3 linked regions of the Macaca mulatta genome follow. The protein of the gene in region 2 interacts with the protein of the main gene of each other region in a biochemical or structural test. Links are inferred from orthologs where the notes say so. Each region holds a gene or a part of one and is shown on either strand. Other genes may lie near its edges.

The links. The genes of interacting proteins can lie anywhere in the genome.
Region 1: the proteins of GRIP1 (region 2) and THRA form a complex in vitro, tested with the Homo sapiens proteins (2 studies listed by BioGRID). The link is inferred for Macaca mulatta from reciprocal best matches to the Homo sapiens genes GRIP1 and THRA.
Region 3: the proteins of GRIP1 (region 2) and CARM1 form a complex in vitro, tested with the Homo sapiens proteins (2 studies listed by BioGRID). The link is inferred for Macaca mulatta from reciprocal best matches to the Homo sapiens genes GRIP1 and CARM1.

The regions. Positions count from the first base shown.
Region 1 is NC_133421.1:64,442,612-64,446,125, reverse strand, and holds part of THRA (thyroid hormone receptor alpha), read right to left. Parts: coding exon 3,412-3,514; intron 2,777-3,411; coding exon 2,571-2,776; intron 688-2,570; coding exon 541-687; intron 1-540.
Region 2 is NC_133416.1:74,200,306-74,204,516, reverse strand, and holds the start of GRIP1 (glutamate receptor-interacting protein 1), read left to right. Parts: upstream 1-1,404; 5' UTR 1,405-1,902; coding exon 1,903-1,960; intron 1,961-4,211. UniProt on the Homo sapiens protein: May play a role as a localized scaffold for the assembly of a multiprotein signaling complex and as mediator of the trafficking of its binding partners at specific subcellular location in neurons.
Region 3 is NC_133424.1:11,639,868-11,643,381, forward strand, and holds part of CARM1 (histone-arginine methyltransferase CARM1), read left to right. Parts: intron 1-3,283; coding exon 3,284-3,409; intron 3,410-3,514. UniProt on the Homo sapiens protein: Methylates (mono- and asymmetric dimethylation) the guanidino nitrogens of arginyl residues in several proteins involved in DNA packaging, transcription regulation, pre-mRNA splicing, and mRNA stability.

The DNA.
Region 1 (3,514 bases), on a different chromosome or scaffold from region 2:
GGGTGTGTGTATCCGCACGTGTGCCTGAGTGCTGGGTGTATGTGTATATGTGTGTGTCTGTGTGTCTGTGTATGTATCTGTGTGCTGGGTGTGTGTGTCTGTGTATGTGTCTGCATGTGTGCCTGAGTGCTGGGTGTATGTGTATATGTGTGTGTCTGTGTATGTATCTGTGTGCTAGGTGTGTGTGTCTGTGTATGTGTCTGCACGTGTGCCTGAGTGCTGGGTGTATGTATACATGTGTGTGTCTGTGTGTATGTGTATATATCTGTGTGGTGGGTGTGTGTGTCTGTGTATGTATCTGCACGTGTGCCTGAGTGCTGGGTGTATGTGTATATGTGTGTGTATGTGTGTGTGTGTATGTATCTGTGTGCTAGGTGTGTCTGTGTATGTGTCTGCATGTGTGCCTGTGTGCTGAGTGTGTGTTGACCTACGGGAATTGCTCCTTGTCCAGAGAGCCTCAGATGAGCCTGTGCTGGGTGACCGGGGGAGAAGGTTTCCCTCCAGCACAGCACCACGTCTCTCCTCCCTTCTGCCACTCACCTCGGAGAACATGGGCAGTTTTTTGGCAAAGTCCACCACACGGGTGATGGCCGGGGTGATGATCTTGGTAAACTCGCTGAAGGCTTCCAGGTCCACCTTGTCTCCGTCCGGCATGGAGACGATGGGTGACTGGCCAATGTCATCGGGCTAGAGAGAAAGACAGGGGTCAGCTGGGGCTGCAGACCCCTTTCAGCCTCTCACTGAGGCTGCCTGCCCACCAGGGGGAGCTCCAAGGCAGCTTGGGGAAGAAGGGCCGCAAGTGCCTGAGTCCCAGCCCCAAAGCTTTTCCTTCACCTTGAGCAGAGGATAGACCAGAGCCAGAGTCAGCTAATAATAACAATGGTAACAACAGTAGTAGCAGCTATAATGACTAAATACTTAATATATGATCAGGCATCAGGCTACATGTTTTACATGTCTTATTTCATCCTGACCGTAATCCTAAAAGGAATAATTATAATAATCACCATTTCACAGATGTGGAAACTAAGGCACGGGGCAGCTAAGTAATAAGGTTAAAGTCATATGACCAGCAAGTGGTAGGACCAGGGTTTGAACTTGGGCAGTCTGACTGCTGACTGTTATACATCTGCTTGGAATCAGAGCCCGTGCCCTTAACAGTGCACTGTGCCACCCTCTGGCATGCTCCACCATGAACCAGGAGCTGGTTTTCTGCCTTCCTTCACCACACAGAGTCAACTGTCCATCTCCTCCCAAACCGACCACTTTTTTTTTGAGAGAGGGTCTTGCTCTGTTGCCTGGGCTGGAGTGCAGTGGTATAATCATGGCTTACTGCAGCCTCGACCTCCTGGGCTTAGGGGACCCTCCTGCCTCAGCCTCCCGAGTACCTGGGACCACAGGCACACACCACCATGCCCAGCTAATTTTAAAATTATCTGTAGAGAGGCTGAGCACAGTAGTTCACACTTGTAATCCCAGCACTTTGGGAGGCCAAGGCAGGCAGATTACCTGAGGTTGGGAGTTCCAGACAAGCCTGACCAACATAGAGAAATACCATCTCTACTAAAAATACAAAATTAGCCAGGCATGGTGGCGCATGCCTGTAATCCCAGCTATTTGGGAAGTTGAGGCAGAAGAATCGCTTGAAGCTGGGAGGTAGAGGTTGCGGCAAACCAAGATTGCGCCACTGCATTTCAGCCTGGGCAACAAGAGCAAAACTCCATCTCAAAAAAAAAAAAAAAAAAATTATTCGTAGAGGCTAGGCATGGTGGCTCACACCTTGTAATCTCAGCACTTTGGGAGGCCAAGGCAGGCAGATCACTTGAGATCAGGAGTTCAAGACCGGCCTGGCCAACATGGTGAAACCCTGTCTCTACTAAAAATACAAAAATTAGCCAGACATGGTGGCGGCTGCCTGTAATCCCAGCTACTCAGGAGACTAAGGTGGCAGAATCGCTGAACCCAGGAAGCAGAGGTTGCGGTGAGCCGAGATCATGCCACTGCACTCTAGCCTGGGTGAGAGTGAGACTCCATACCAAAAAAAAAAAAAATTATTCATAGAGGTGGGATCTCTGTATGTTACCCAGATGAACTCCTGGGCTCAAGCGATCCTCCCACCTTGGTCTCACAAATTGCTGGGATTACAGGCACGAGCCATTGCATCTGGTCCTGAACTAATCATTTACTTAGCCACTAGCTTGACCAGGGCCTAACACAATGCCTGGCACCCAGCAGGCACTCAAAAATACTGTGACATAACTGTATCCTTACCCTCTCCTCCCAGTCACTAGGGGCAGGAAAAAGAAGCAAGGTCACCCTTGCTCCTTGGAAATTCAATGAGGAAGGCAAGGCCCTGTCCTCATGGAGCTCCCAATTGGATGGAGTAGACAGGGTCCAGACAGCAAGGACACAAACGCAAGTGTATAAAATCTGGACAGCAAAAGTGGGAAGAGTATGTATTTTGGGTTGGATTACACTAAGAAGACTTCCTGGAGGAGACAGGACTCTGAGCTCACTCTCCTCTCCCTGCCACCTGGCTGCTGCTCTCCCCATGCCCCCTTTCTCCTTACCAGGAATTTCCGCCTCTGTTTCCAATGGCTGCCCTGGGCATTGGTGCTGCGATGGGCCTCTGTGGCAATGTGGATCAGATCCCACTCTTCAGGAGTGGGTTCTGGTCGCTGCTGCAGTGATCGGATCATCTCCTCCTTCCGCCGCCGCTCCCGGTTCTGCTCAATCAGCTTACGCTTGGCCACCCGCTTCGAGTCATCTAGAACCACTGTCAACAGATAGGCACAAGGTCCGATGCATGGCACCCTCCATCCCCTTTCCATAATGCTCCCGGAAACTATTCTTCCTAGAGTACAGGTTAGGGAAACCGAGGGCCATGGAGGCTAAGTGACTTCCCAAATCACCTAGCAGTTGGGCAGCACAACCTGGATCATGATTAATCCCCGGGACCATGTCAATAACAGTTTGGGCTGATCCAGATGAATATCATGTTCTGGTCTATCGGGTTATGGTGATGGTGGTTACTCCAAGATCCTGCCACCCAATCCCCAGCCAATGGAAAATGCCCTGTCTCATCTAGGAGTGGGGTGCCTTCGCTGGGAGTCAAGAACAATGTGCTAGAGTGGGTGCCCAGGAGCTCTTTCTACCAAACAACTCCTCTAAGGCCCTCGAGTGTTGTAAGGCAGGTAGGCACTGGGGCCCACACAGGGATCCTGTTTCCTTTGACGCAGGAAGAAGGGCAGCAGGAACCAAGACACTGAACCTTCTGCCCTCAGCCTGACCTAGACTGGATTGCCACTCTGCCCTGTGGGCCCTGAGGGCACGCTGGAAGGGAGCTGCCCTCCTGAAACTCATCCCCACCCCAGGCCACCTGGCTCTATTCCCCCCACCCGGGCCCCTTACAGTCCATGGCCATGCCCACGGCGATGCACTTCTTGAAGCGGCACAGCTGGCACTGATTTCGGGTGATCTTGTCAATGACACAGCAGCTGTCATATTTGCAGGA
Region 2 (4,211 bases):
GAAGGGTGGGCCATTTAAAGGCGACAGGTGTGATGTTCATATTGATTTTCTGGATTTTACTTTTCAAAGAGTCTGGAAAGAAGATTTGAACAGCTCAGACGGGATTTCTACTGATAACCCCCTGGGATGGTTTGACTCTGCCCTTCATTTAGCCCTTCAGTTCCTCTATCCTTGAAGCTTCTGGACCCGAGTCTCTCCATTGCTTAGGAGAGAGAGCCATTTGCTTTGGCAGCTGGGCAGTTCTGTAATGACAGACAGCCACCCAGGCCAGCAGCAGAGGCAAACGTCCTCACCCGATAAGACCGCTTATGCAGTGGCAGAGGAAAAGAAGATTCTTTCAGCCTTTTCTAGTTAATGCATTTCTCTGGCAGTATTACTATGTTTCCAAGAGGAGAGGGAGAGAAGGCCAGTGTGAGCCAATGTCCTCAATTCGGGAGAGCAAACTGCAGTTCCTTCAGAGGCCAAAATAAACTGCAGGACACCGAGTCATTCATAGCAGTGCAGTGGTTGGGCCCCAACAACCACAAACCAGTAGTTCAGCCCCAGGGGCCCTAAATTCTTCGGTCCACATCAGATACTCTGGAGGGAGAGACAGGTATTTTCTAGCCAGCCCCCAGGCTTGAGGCAGAGGCAGATGTCATACTCCACAGGACAGTCACCGAGTGACACCTGGAACACTGTCAGGAACCCCTCCTAGCATTACCGTTTTGAAAGCACAAGCAAGAGCCCCATGTCTGGGCAGAATCTTCCAGGCTGTATCACAAAGCTGGCTCCCTCCCACCTGACTCATTTTTCCACCGATTTTCTATGAACCTATGACAAGGGGAAGAAACTAATCATAAAACCTGATCATAAAACCCTTCCTATGCTTGAAGACAGCGATTACATATTCACTCAGCCAAGGTCTCCCTGCATCATTTAAAACAAAAGAGAGTCTCCATTCACGCTCTTCCCACACTGCCAGGAAACGTATTCCTGGGACCAGCGCTGACCATCCCAAAAGTTGCTATTTCCCTCAGTTGAGGGCGAAGTTAGCAAATCCGTAGCTGCAAGTCTCAACTTGGGGGAGGGGGCGACAGCCAGGGCGTAGGGAGAGCGGCGCGGAGGAGGGACTAGAGGGAAGGACACTGCCCCTTACTCCATCGAGGTCGTCGCCTAAGCCAGAGGAGCCGCCAGTTTGGGCTCTGGGAGGAAGGCGGGGAGGGAGTGGCGGCCGCGGTGGAGCGGCGTGGGCTCCGCAACAGCGGCTCGGTGCCAGGCTCGGTACCTGGCAGGCCGGGCGCGCCTCGCAGGCCGCCTGGGGCGCGGAGGGTGTGAGCGCGCGCGCCCCCTCCGTGCCCGCTCAGCCTCGCGCGCGTCTCGGGGGAGGCTCCGCCGAGAGGCGCCCAGGGAGCCCGCAACCTCAGTCCTGCTGCCGGAGGAGCTTTGTGCGGCGGCGGCTCCGAGTCCCACCTGCTGGCGGCGGAGAGACAAGGAAGGGGAAGAAGGAGGAGGAGGGGAAAGAGGCGGCGGCGCCAGCCCACTCCTCTCGCCGGCGCCCACTCCCGGGGGCTCCGCAGCCCCCAGCTCTCGGCCTGCACCGGCCCTCCGCCCCCGGCCCGGCCCAACCTCCCGGCCACACAGCGGCAGCCGCCGCTGCAGCCCCCAGACCTGCCCGGCGGGGCCCGGCCCGGCCCGGCCGCCGCCGCCGCCGCCGCCGCCCGGAGCCGCCGGCGAGTTTGAGGGGAGCGCTGGGCGCACGGCGCCGCCTCGATGTGCCCGGGAGCCGCCTCGGCGCCCCAGCTCCGCTGAACAGCCCCGGCGCGGCTACCCAAGAGGACGAGCGAGGAGGCGCGGCGAGCCCCGGAGAAAGGGAGCCAGCGAGAGAGAGCGAGCCCAAGAGCGAGCGCAGGGAGCGACACCATGCCCGGCTGGAAGAAGAATATCCCCATCTGCTTGCAGGCAGAGGAGCAGGAGAGAGGTGAGCTAGGCGGCGGGGCCGGGGAGGGAGGGAAGGGGTCCGGGCTGGGGCCGCCCGGTGCCTCCCTCTCCCCGGCTCCCTCCCGACCCGTCCACCCGCCAACGGGGGAGGGGCGCCGCTCCTTCAGGGCCCGCGGGCGAATCCAGGTGGCGTCTTGCGAACTCTGATTCTTTTTTTTGTTGGTTTGTTTGTTTTTTTTGGTGGGGGGGGTGGGTTGGGGCGGGCTGGAGGGGCAGGGGGAGAGGGGTGGTGCTGCAGCAGGGAACTTTTCGCTTGGGGAAAGATTTTTTTCTGGCGAGGATGTAGGGGAAACTCCAGCTTCTGCAGGGCCCGCTCGCACGTGGAGCTCCGAGCCGCCGTCTGTGGGGTGGGTGCTTGGGGGTGATGGTGGACAGGGAGGGGGGTTCCTGCAGTGCTTTAAGTGACTTTTCAAACTTTCCTCCACCTCCTGCGGCCACCCTCGCGCTGTCCCCGACTCTGGCTGGGCTGCGACGGCATTGTCAACCCAAAGTTGCTGGAGATTCATAAAGAAGGAGGAGGAGGAGAAGGAAAAGCGTGGGGGAGGCAAGGGGGGCGCTGCCGCAGGTCTGTGGAGGGGGAGAGAAGAGGGAAAAGGTTGTCCCCTCGCTCAGGGTCTGGGGCTGGGAGTGACTGCTTGGAGATGAGTTATGCCCCAGCGCAGTCCCCTCTGTCAGTTTAATACCGCAGGACTGCGGGCTTTTCGTAATTACTGTCTATTTTCTTTGCAAAAGGCGGCTCTCTGTGCCTGGTGCCTTGCAGACCTTTTGTGCTTCAGCTTGACAAGTGTGCTGTACACTTTGCTTTTAAGTGACTTGCGGAGAGGAAAGTTGAAGAGCCTTTTGCACCTTAAAGGTTTGGTTCTGTTGAGGTCATTTCATGGTGTTTGGATTGTGCAGAGGTTGGCCAGGGAGTTCAGCTTGGTAACCTGGATATGATGTACTGAGTGCACCAGAATTTCCCATACAGGCCCCATGGGGCTAGAGGGGTGTGTGCACGGTGGCTCTGCTAGCATCCAGAGGAACGCTGGCTGGCAAGGTCCACCAGGGTTTATCCCTTTGCTTCTTCTACCCTGTCCTGTCCTGGCTTCGAGGAAGGTGCTTTAGAATTGGATAGGTTTCAGGATGCAGGGGCTGCATGGGCTGTGGCAAACAGCCAGTGCTGAGGTTAAGTGGCGCAGCGTGGGTACGTGGGCGAGGAAAGCAGGAGGAGGCCAGTCTGGTGTGTGGAGAAGGCAGAGTTGTCAAGGGGGTTTAATCCAGCAGTTTGGTGAGCTGGTATGGATGGTGGCTTGGTTATTGGGCATACTAAAAGTTTCAAGCGTTTGAATAACACTTACTACTGAAGAACCAATGTACAATTTCCAGTTTTTCTCTAGGTGGCACAACCTGTCTTTGGTTTGTATCCTGTTTAATGACTCAGGGAATTCATCCCTTTTTAAGCACTTCCTTATTAGATATGTGCATTCATTTTCCAGCACACTTTCTGGCAGGTGACCTTACGTTTACCCATTCAAAAGGCACCCCTGCTTTGGGAATGCTTCTGCTTCTCCCTTTAGTAAATCATATCTTTAAACTTGCAAATAGCAGTACCAATAATTTATAACCAGGTAAAAGCACTACATGAAAGCATTCTGCCAAGCATGGAGTGACTGTCCTATCAACTAAATGTCACAATGTACTTGGCATTAAATGTATCAGTTTGCTTAAAAAAAATCACCATACTTCCGACAAGTTTTATCAGAATGCCGAAGTGGGTAGATTTTCGGATTGTGACAAAATGTACTTGTATGTCTTTTGGAAATATATGGTAACATTGAAAGATGATTGTCTAATCTGCTTGGTGGAGATAAGACTGAAATTCCTCAGAGCATAAAAATCTGAGTAAGAAATTGAGTGTTCTGCCTTATCTCCCCCAATAGGAGAAAACAGGAAATGTTTCTTACTTTTTGCTTTTTTTCACTTTAAAGGTTTCTTCTTTCTCACTTTAGTTATGAGATGCTTTTCTAAATAATTAGTATTTATTTTTGTTTGTTTGGTTGTAGCATTTCTTTTTGAAGTCCTGCTTCTTTTGGAATGGACAAATATATGATTTTGTTTCTTTCACAATTTCCTGTCCAACTGGTGTTTTTGTTTCAATCGTGTGTGTGTGTGTATATATATACACACACACATATATATACATATATTAAATATATATTTAAATAAACTGAGCTGCCTATGTGACTTTTAAT
Region 3 (3,514 bases), on a different chromosome or scaffold from region 2:
TCAGGAGATCGAGACCATCCTGGCTCACACGGTGAAACCCCGTCTCCACTAAAAAAATACAAAAAAAAAAACTAGCCGGGCGAGGTGGCGGATGCCTGTAGTCCCAGCTACTCGGGAGGCTGAGGCAGGAGAATGGCGTAAACCCGGGAGGCGGAGCTTGCAGTGAGCTGAGAGAGATCCGGCAACAGCACTCCAGCCTAGGTGACAGAGTAAGACTCCGTCTCAAAAAAAAAAAAATTGTTGTTTTATTTTTATTTTTATTTTTATTTTTTTGAGATGGAGTCTTGCTCTGTTGCCCAGGCTGCAGTGCAGTGGCGTGATCTTCGCTCACTGCAAGCTCCACCTCTTGGGTTCATGCCATTCTCCTGCCTCAGCCTTCTGAGTAACTGGGACTACAGGTGCCTGCCACCATGCCTGGCTAATTTTTTGTTTGTTTTTGCTTTTTTGTTTGTTTGTTTTGAGACAGAGTCTCGCTTTGTCACCCAGACTGGAGTGCAGTGGCGTGCTCTCGGCTCACTGCAAGCTCCGCCTCCCAGGTTCAAGTGATTCTCCTGCCTCAGCCTCCCGAGTAGCTGGGACTACAGGCACCCGCACCACACCCAGCTAATTTTTTGTATTTTTAGTAGAGACAGGGTTTCACCATGTTAGCCAGGATGGTCTCGATCTCGTGATCCGCCTGCCTTGACCTCCCAAAGTGCTGGGATTACAGGCATAAGCCACCGTGCCCAGCCAATTTTATTTTATTTTATTTTATTTTATTTTTTTTTTGTATTTTTAGTAGAGACAGGATTTCACCGTGTTAGCCAGGATGATCTCAATCTCCTGACCTTGTGATCCACCCACCTTGGCCTCCCAAAGTGCTGGGATTACAGGTGTGAGCCACCGTGCCCAACCTTTTTTTTTTTTTTTTTTTGAGACAGGGTCTTATTCTTGTCACCCAGTCCAGAGTGCAGTGTTGCCATCTCCGCTCGCTGCAGTGTCAACTTCCTGGGCTCAGGTGATTCTCCCACCTCAGCCTCCCAAGTAGTTGGGACTATAGGCACACGCCACTACACCTGACTTAATATGTATATATTTTTAGTAGAGACAGGATTTCACCATGTTGCCCAGGCTGGTCTTAAACTCCTGGGTTCTAGTGATCTGCCCGCCTCCCACAATGCTGGGATTACAGGTGTTAGCCACCAGGCCTGACCCTAAAAGAGTTTTTTTATATATTCTGGACACTAAATACTTAGCAATAGATGATTTGCAAATAGTTCTCCTAAGAGTTTTCTAGTTTTAGCTCTTATGTTTAGGTCATTGCTCCATTTGAGTTCTGTTTTATTTGTCTATGGTGTGAGGTAGGAGTTTAACTTCATTCTTTTCTCTGTGGTTATCCAGTTTTCTTAGCAGTGTTTATTGAAGGCACTATTCTTTCCCCATTGAATGTTCTTGGAATCTTTGTCAAAAATCAATTGAGGATAAGTGTAAGGGTTTATTTCTGGACTCTGATTCTGTTCCATTGATCTGTGTCTCCATTCTTTTGCCAGTACCACTACACTGTTTACATTACTGTACCTTCATAGTAAAATTTGAAATTGAGACATGGGAATCCTCCAGCTTCATTCTTTTTCAAGATTGTTTTGGCTATTCAGGGTGATTGGGAACACTTTTGCCACATTTGCACTCACGTTGTTGTTGTGATGGGCTATTGAAAAGCAAGCTGCTGATGTCATGGGAATTTGCCATAAATCCTTCCACATATGTTTTCTAAGAACAAAGGCATTTCTCTACAAAACCGCAATGCCATTGTCACATCCAAGTAACTTAAAATTATGGCATATGTATTCCACACTCACATTTTCCTAGTTGTCTTTTTTTTTTTTTTTTTTTTTTAAGTAGGATCTCACTTCTGTTGCCTAGACTAGATAGAGTACCATGGCATCATCATAGCTCACTGCAGCCTCAACCTCCTGGGCTCAAGCAATCCTCCCACCTCAGCCTCCCAAGTAGCTGGGACCACAGGTGGGGGCTACTCTGTCCGGCTCCCCAGTTGTCCTTTATTTATTTTTTTGAGACAGGGTCTTGCTCTGTCACCCAGGCTGGAATGCAGTGGCACAGTCATGGCTCATTGCAGTCTCAACCTCCCAGGCTCAAGTGATCCTTCCATCTCGGCCTCCTGAGTCCCTAAGACAACAGGCACACGCCACCACGCTTGCCTAATTTTAAAATTTTTTTGTAGACAGGGTCTTGCTATGCTGCCCAGTCTGATCTCCAACTCCTGGGTTCAAGTGATCCTCCTGCCTTGGCCTCCCAAAGTGCTGGGATTAGAGGTGTGGGTCCGGTCTCCCCAGTTGTCCTTTATAACTTTTTAAAACATTTTTCTTGCGGCTTCAGCCCAGGGTCCCACTTTGCATCGCATTGGGCACTCCCCCCTTTCTTGTCTCCTGTACTCTGGAATAGCTCCCACCGTTTTGGTCTTTCCTGACACTGGCCTGTTTGAGGAGACCAGCCTGGTTGTCCTGTAGCCTGCCCAACAACCTGTCGTTTTCTGTTGTCCCTTGAAGATGGGACTAGGTCAAACATTTTTGCCAAGAATACTACAGATGATGCACCTGTCCCACTGTAGTGTGGCAGGCAGGGGCACAGTGCCTGATTGGGCCGGCCCGTTCCTGGCATCGCTAAGTTTCACCATTTGGCTGGAGTGGAGTGACCACAGGTTTGTGGAATGAATGACTAGTAACAGCTATCATGATGGGTACAGGGAGACAGTGTCATGATTCACTAGACAACTGCCCTGCCATTAGCCCCATCTGACGGTGAGAACCCGAGTTCCAGAGAGGCTGAGGGACCTGCCTGTGTCACAGTGAACAAATGGCATGGGTGGGGTGTGAACCCGGTGGTCTGGCTACACTGGCCCCATGCAGTCACTGCACTGCACCCATCCAAGAACAGAAGGGCTCAGCCGAGTGGAGCAGAGGCAGCTCCAGCTCTGAGGCCCTGTGGGTTGGCACCGTGCCTGGTGGCCCTGTCTGCCCACCTCAGCGTTCACCGTCTCCCTGTCTCAGCCCTGGTCATCCTGAGGACACAGACTGTATCCCTGCTGTCTGATCAGCCGCTCCCTTGTCCTCAGTGTGGGCTGGGCAGGCAGCGCACCCGGCATTGCTGCCAGGGTGGTTTTGTGGCACTCTGGAAGAATCTGGGGGCACCAACGGCAGGCAGCAGGAGGGCGTCAGGGACCCGGGATCAAAAGAAGGCAGCCGACAGGGCTGTACTGCTCACGCCAGCCTATCTTCTCTCATAGATGAAGATGTGTGTGTCTTTAAGTGCTCGGTGTCCCGAGAGACAGAGTGTAGCCGCGTGGGCAAGCAGTCCTTCATCATCACCCTGGGCTGCAACAGCGTCCTCATCCAGTTCGCCACACCCAACGGTACGTGCCCCTGCTTCCACTCCAGTGACACCAGCCCAGAGCGCCCAGAGCCCTGGTGGGCAGGGGCATGGAGCCTGGCTAAGGAGCGGCCCATGCATCGTTGAG